2 linked regions of the Caenorhabditis elegans genome follow. The protein of the gene in region 1 interacts with the protein of each later gene in a pairwise test. Each region holds a gene or a part of one and is shown in the gene's direction. Other genes may lie near its edges.

The links.
Region 2: the proteins of scrm-5 (region 1) and F22H10.3 interact in a two-hybrid assay, tested with the Caenorhabditis elegans proteins (one large-scale study listed by BioGRID).

Annotation. Positions count from the first base shown.
Region 1 is NC_003282.8:4,160,394-4,165,044, forward strand, and holds scrm-5 (Phospholipid scramblase), read left to right. Parts: upstream 1-2,027; 5' UTR 2,028-2,070; intron 2,071-2,125; 5' UTR 2,126-2,128; coding exon 2,129-2,353; intron 2,354-2,401; coding exon 2,402-2,761; intron 2,762-3,646; coding exon 3,647-3,833; intron 3,834-3,890; coding exon 3,891-4,030; 3' UTR 4,031-4,087; downstream 4,088-4,651. Other genes in the region: scrm-8 (Phospholipid scramblase), read left to right, coding at 4,386-4,604.
Region 2 is NC_003284.9:16,676,785-16,679,799, reverse strand, and holds F22H10.3 (Spore coat protein), read left to right. Parts: upstream 1-2,092; coding exon 2,093-2,332; downstream 2,333-3,015. Other genes in the region: F22H10.2 (VrrB protein), read right to left, coding at 3-260.

The DNA of each region.
Region 1 (4,651 bases):
AATTTTATGACAATTCACCATTCTCTCTTTGCGGTTCTGTTGTTGTGATTCTCTCGAAACGAAACCCAAATGAGAATAATATTTCCAATCTAGTAGCCAAAATTCGATCGCATCATGGAATGGTTCATGTAATTTCATCAAATACTCCATCAGGTGGATCCCAACCACTCACCCTCTATGACCTCTCATTTAAAACAAATGGACTAGCCGATTTTCGAAATGATGATCAATTCAACGATGTAAGATTTCAGAGGTCGCTCCTCACTCTTAATTAATTTCAGTCTCAAATTCGTTTTTTTGGGCTATTTTGGCCTGTAGCCATTTATTCGGTGAATCCTGTAGTGTCCGGAAAAGGCTCCATTGTACTGCCTTCACTGTTCCACACTAAACCCAACGGGACATTCTTTGCCGGGGTCGACTTTGCAGTAACTGTACAGAACCATGGTACAAATTTTGATATGATTATCATAACTTGTTAATATTACAAATTGAGGTCCCATTGATACATTCCAATCATTTTACCTTTCTTGGTACAATGCTTCATCATCTACCAATGGTGGTTTTTATGGATATCCAGGATCCCCATCCAATGAGGTAACGTTTCCTACATGTACTCATACGATACCGTTTTTTGAGGTTACTACCTTTGAAAGTAATAACCTCACGATTAGAGACTAAATGATTAAAGGATTAAAGGTCGATCCGTTTTTCAAGCGTTGTGCACTGATTTTTTTGGTTTTTTGAGACCAAAAAAACCAAAAAATAAATTGCAACACTGATTCAGCAAAAAATTAAACAAATGAGAACAAAAAACCTTGTTCAATCGTTCGTGTGTTCAATTTTTAATATTTCATGAAAAATTCCTGTTTTGTCCCGTTTGATATCAAACCGTGAAATTTTTTTTGTTTTTTGTTTTTTTTAGTTTTTTTTTGTTGGTTTTTTTGAAAATTTCGATTTTTTGTTTCTTGTTTTTTGGTCCAAAGTTCGACCAAAAATTTTTTTGTTTTCTGGTCGAAGTTTGTTTTTGTAATACCTGGTGGTGATCCTACTGGGCGGTAATTTAAGCCACACCCAAGCTGGGGACTGTGGCCGTTTTATAACTTCAGTAACTGTTTGATAAGACAATAAATTTCGAGAGCAGGCTCCAGTAATCCTATGCCTCACTAACAGGGAATATACGTTAGCTATTTCAGAAAAATAGCACAATTCGAGCAGGCTATGGAAACCTCGATGCTGCTATCTACAACATGAAACTTGAGTACTCATATTCTGACAATACGCCAATCAAACTCCAAATTAGACAATACGCTGCGATGTAAGATAATGTTAGTGCTAGTTCATCAGAAAAATAACTTTTTTCAGCGATATTGACTACTGGCCACCATATGCTGACTAAATGCCAAGTTTTGCAATTCATTTGAATAAACATTTGAACATTCCAATAGCTTACACATTTCAACAGATAACACTTCAAAAGTTTTTTAGTCTGGGAGATTGATAAAAATTTGTTTCAAAGTAATTTTGCAGAAATTAAAATTCTGCCACACTATCCTGTATGGAAGAATTTACATGTCGATGTGCATTCTTCTAGTTGATAACTTTGAGACTCAGCGAACGCTTGACAAGTTATCACTGCTTGTTCAAGTACTGATTTCGAGCTCCAAATTTATTGTGCTGGTTGCCAGGAGCCACTGGTTTCAGGTTTCATGCTGCAAAGTCATCTTCAGTGTTTCACTGAAGATCCACAAAACGAATATATAGTTTGGCTGCTTAACCATTGAAAATCTATTAGTTTTTGTTCAGTACCGAAAATTCAGATCGGTGAATTCGAGAAAGTTTTGGAAGAGCTGCGGGATGTTTTTGTTCATAGTTTCTAGAAAATTTGGAGCCACGGGGTAAATAAATAAATTTTTAAATAAATTAGATAAGTTCAAACGTGAATATGAACTTTCTGCCCTTTCTGCCCTATCCCTTTTCCCCACGTATTCAATTTTCGAAACAACAAATAAAATCAATACTCCCTTCGATTGAAATTCATTCATTTTCGACTAGTGAACAACGATCTGATATGTGAGTTTTCTTATATCTGTCAGTGTTCCCCAAAAAACCCGCAAAATTTTTTCAGAAAATGAACAAACAACCGGGACAGCAACCATTGAGATCGCTTAGCTTGACGTCTGCGGCCAAGTCACCTGAGGAGGTTGAGCCGGAGCAGGATTCGAAGAAAGGAGAGCCACGTGCCAAGGCTGCAGGATTCGGAGGAGGTGGAGGTGGTGGAAAGAGACTCCCAGAGGCAAGATCTACGCCAATGGTCATTCCGAACCAGGTAGCAGCGATGCCGGTTCAGATGACTGTAAGTCATTCTAGCTAATAGTGATCGTTTTAACTTTTGACTTTTCAGGGCTTCGTCCAACTTGTCGCCAACAACATTCTCAGCGCCATTGCCCATACCAACTCTGTGATGGTTGTCCAATGCATCAAACCCCTCGAGATCTTCACCGGATTCGAAACTCCGAATCGCTACGTGGTCCATGACATGTACTGCCGCCCGCTGCTTTATTGTATGGAAAGATCGAACATCTTCGCTCGTCAGTACGAAGGAAACGATCGTAACTTCGGAATGCAGATCATGGATACCCACGGAGCTCAGGTGATGACGTGCTTCAGAGGAAGACCATGCTGCTCGACCGATGATTTTCTGAGCACCCAGTTCCTCGATCAGCAGATTGGGATGATGAAGAAGGAGTGCTGCAATCCTAATGTGAGTGCTAGTATCAAGTAAAACTACAGTAATCCAGAGCCCTGAAGCATTCTTTGGAAAAATCACATTTTTCTCAAAAGAGATCTTTTCGCTGATCTGAGTTTGCATCAATCTTGATCGAGCTTAGAGCCAGGGCTGTGCGGCAAATTTTGAAACTTGCAGTGCTCGGCAAACGGCAAATTTGCCGCACACCCCTGATGCCCTATCTATAGTCCGATCTATAATATATCTGTAACTTGGCACATAGCAACCTAGAGTCTTTCCGCTTTGCTCTGCCGCCCAGCCGCAAGACATTGATACACAAAAGAGAGCAAAGCGGAAGGACTGTAGGTTGCAATGTGCCAAGTTTGTACTGACATAGATATAGACTATAGGTTACTAGACTGTCCAAATGTCTTTCAGTATTAAGATGTTTATCTAGAAAGCCTATTACTTGGTACATAGACGTACAGGTTTCACGCCTTTGCTCTGCCGCCCAGCGGCTAGGCATTGACACACTAAAAGAGAGAAACACAGAGCAAGGCGGAAGGACCGTACGTCACCAATGTACCAAGTTACAGATATAAATTGCACTATACAATTGCACTATACGTAGATCTATAGATCTATATCTATATACCGCTGAACGGCAACATCGGGACTAGCATGACACCTTGTACAAGGGCAAACTCGGCAAATTTGCCGAGCTCAACTAACTCCGAAAAATTTGATGTTTTTTGAAGCACCAAAACTACTGAATTTTTAACGCGGCAAATTCGCCAAATTCGCCAAACTTGCCGCACACCCCTGATCAGAGCAATCGTTCCTATAGGCTGAAGCTTTATTAGCTCTTCACCTGAATCTCCCATCCTCCTTGAGACACATCCTATTAACCTTTTCTTTCAGTTCGAGCTCGTCGGATCCGGCTGCAACCAGCCCCTGCTCATCCAATCTCCAGGTTGTGCAGGCTGTGGTGGCACCCAGAAGTTCCCAGTGATGACCTTCAATGGTGTGCTCGTCGGAGAAATTGTCCGCCTCTACCCGGGATTCATGCAGGAGATGTTCACCGATGCGGACACCTATATTGTTCATTGTAAGCATTTTATTCTAAGCTTCTGATCTTTTCTATCTTAATTTTGGAATATTTCAGTCCCAATGGACATGCCGCCAATCTTGAAGCTTCTGCTTGTCACCTCGGTTTTCCTGATCGACTTCACCTACTTCGAGGATCGTAACCAGGATCAACATCGTAACGGCGGAATGCATAGCGGAATGCATAGCAGCTTCTAAACTTATAAAGGATCCTGTTCACAAATTCACTTGCAAACTAGAATAAACTAGTTTTTTCTGGCTTCTTCTTACTATACCTACTAGCTGATAATTTCTCAGCAAAAGATTGCGTTTTCTGGGCACAAATGACTTGTTAAAATTGCGATAACTAATACACGTGCAGCAGACAACAATTCCGCAGATAATTTCCTATTTTTTTCCAACAGAAATTTAAATCTGACGTGAAGTTCCACATAGTACAATCAGATCAGATTTTCAAAATTAATTTATTTCCGACTTGTGACCAACACTTTTCTATGTGAGTTTTCTTATTTCTCTTGGTTTTCCCTCAAAACCCGCATAATTTTTTCAGAAAATGAATATTCAACCGGGACAGCTACCATTGAAAGCAATTAGCTTAACGTCCGCGGTGAAGTCACCTGAGGAGGTTGAGCAGGATTCAAAGAAGGATGAGCCACGTGCCGAGGGAGCGGGGTTCGGTAGAAGAAACAATGCTGGAACGAAGCTGCCAGCGGCGAGATCGACGCCAATGAAAATTCCGAATCAGGTGGCAGCGATGCCGGTTCAGATGACTGTAAGTCATTCTAGCTAATGGTGACCGCTCTAAATTCTGACTTTTCA
Region 2 (3,015 bases), on another chromosome or scaffold:
AACTAGTGATGCCCATGGTGATGATGGTGGTGTCCGAAATGATGTCCACCGTGATGGTGATGATGATGATGTCCTCCAGTCAAAGCATGTCCAAGACCATGGAGTAATCCATGATGGTGATGGTGATGGTGCCCATGATGATGCCCTCCGTTATTGTGAACATGAACAGTTGGCGGAGCATAGCCTCCTGGACCACCGAATACTGGTGGAGGAGCAAATCCCTGTTGTCCGTACGGGTTGTAACCTCCGTTTTCGTACATGTTGTCTTAAATTCTAAAATGAAAAATTTTAAGTAGAACAAAATAATATATACAATAATTTTCAGAGCGGGAACGGAAACGAAAAGAATGAAAAATTAAAATATTAAGAAAGGTGAACTGATGTCTAACTGAAATTTTTCGGTGATATTTAAACACCAGAAACATAAAAAAAGAAATTGCGTCATGGCGGAGGACAAACCCCCCATTTAACACTGATAAGCATTAAAAAAAGAGCACACCGACGTATTGTTGTTTGCATTAGTCAGAGCCTCTTCCTGAGTGCAAACAAAAAAAACACATAGATCAGTTGAATTGTCTGGATGATTCATAAAAACACAATGTGGTGATGTGTTTTGAAATAGTTCAAGGCGCCGTTTTTTTTTTTTGGATTTTGGCCATTAAGCTACCTGTTTTCATTATTCTGACAGATCTTCGCCATTTTTTCTAACCAGAACTAACATGAATTTTTGAGAGGAGTAGCACCATTTCTGACAGCTCTATTCTCTCCACTTTTACTAACTTCTCCGTGAGCCTGGGAGCTCAATTTATTTCGGAAATTGGTAAAGCATTGGACGTCCCTGGCACTGCGTTTTTATTCAAAGAAATGTTTAGGGACCAATTAACTTTAACTGTAAAAATACAGTAGCGATTGCTTCGTGAACACTCCAATTCCTCAGAGTGTGGGACCTGGTTGTAAGCATGAAACGCGGATTTTAGTCTTCTTTTTCACTACAAACAAAGACACTAAAAATTTGGACAATAGAAAACTGAAAAAACCTCGCCCCGGGCTATCAAACAAGGCTCTACTGTGTTAAGGTATCGGTATTTTTAGCGCGAATGTATTCTCAATTGGCTGAATTTCTGCTAATCACTAAAACTTTGGCAAAATTAGGACTTGAGCTAAAATTATATATATTTCGTGCTGAAAAGAGCAGCAATTGTAGAGAAATAAAAATATTAACATGAAATGAGTCTTTTTTTTTGGGCATTTTCACATAATTTTCACCATTAATTTCTCGGTTTAAACAAATTAATTTATCATTTAAGTGCATTTGTATTCAACAAAAACACTGCGTTAAACTTTTTTCCAAACTTTGAACCAAAGTTCAAAGTGTCCATATATATATATCTCCTTACAAATTTTTCATCCGTGTTTTATGCACGTACTATGAATTGATTTACTTTGGCTCGAACTCTATTTACCAAAAGTTTGAAGACCACTGATTGCTTTGTGTACGCTTACTGATAAGCTTTTGACTTTTGATTCCGGAATCGTCTAGATTGATTTGTATTTGAGTGATTCCCATAAGCACGAAAAATTGACAGAAATAAAACAATTGTTCCTCAATTCTATTTCGACATAGCTTTCGCTCCTGATGTTTTTGAGTCAATATTGACGGGAGCCAAATACTAACGTCACTTCTTCCAATATGGCAACTTTTATTTCTTTAATTAGATCTTCTTTTTTAGAATTTGTTTATTTTTATTGCTTTTTTTATTTCTAAATATGTCATTCTTCCAATTCTTCCAATGACTCATTGAACCTTCATTTTCGAAATCGATGAATAGGAGAAACTTATTCGGGAAAAGTGTCACACTATTTGCATATCAAGTGACGCGTTTCTCCTTCCCGCTGATACTAAAACGATATAAAATACCTCGACCTATCAGCCTATTCCCATCAGTACCTTGACTGGCCTCATGACATTTGCCTCGTTTTTATTTCTCCATTTTCATTTTTAATACCTTGCCTATCAGTTTACTTAACCCTCTTCGTGCCGCTTTTCTGACTTTCTTGACATTTCTCAACTTTCAGTTCGACTTTCTTCGCCATGGCCTATAACCCCTACAACGGTTCGTACCCATACCCACCACCAGTCGGATATGTCCCACCACCAATGGGATATGCTCCACCAATTGCTCCAATTCCAATGGTTGCTCCAATGCCAGTTCCAGTTGCACCAATGATGGCTGCACCAATGTATGGAATGCCACCACCAGTTGTTGTTATTGAGGAACCATATCATCATCATCATCACTGGAATCCATTCCACCATCATCATCATTGCTAAATTTTGCCTGGAGTTTGGTTGGGGGTTTTTGGACGTTTTTTTAAATGTGATATTTTGCCCTGATGTATTAAATAAATTGTTTTGATATTGTTTTAATTGTTTCCAATTTATAAATTGCACTAATTCAGAAAAACGATAGTTATCCACCATAATGATGCATGGTTCTACTTGACTAGTAAAATTTAAAACTACGAGTATGCTGTCTGACACATAACTGTGGCATTCGGATGACAAAAATTCAAAATAATTCATGAACAAATACCATCAAAACGTGAATTCCACAGAGAAGGCAATTAGGGCTCAAATATTTCACATGGCATAGAAATACTTCAGTTCTTCTATACGGTTGACACAACCCAACATTCTAAGATACTTAGATACTTACTTACTTACTTAGAGAGAGAAACGTGTACAATGATAGTAACGTCGTTAAATAATATTTAAATGATATAGCACATAAATTTCAGTGTTTCTACTAAGTGGCACAACTATGCAAAAAATGTTGCCGCGAGTTCATAAACTATTTTTGAGAGTTTTTTATTTAGTATTTATGTAATTTGCGCGTGGATCACGATTTACTACCCTCGTTTCTCATTTCCCTTGATTTTTCTCAAAAACCCTGTCGTGAAAATGTCAAAACCCAGCAGAAAGGTAAAAACGAAAATAGGAAATTGTAAGTTTCG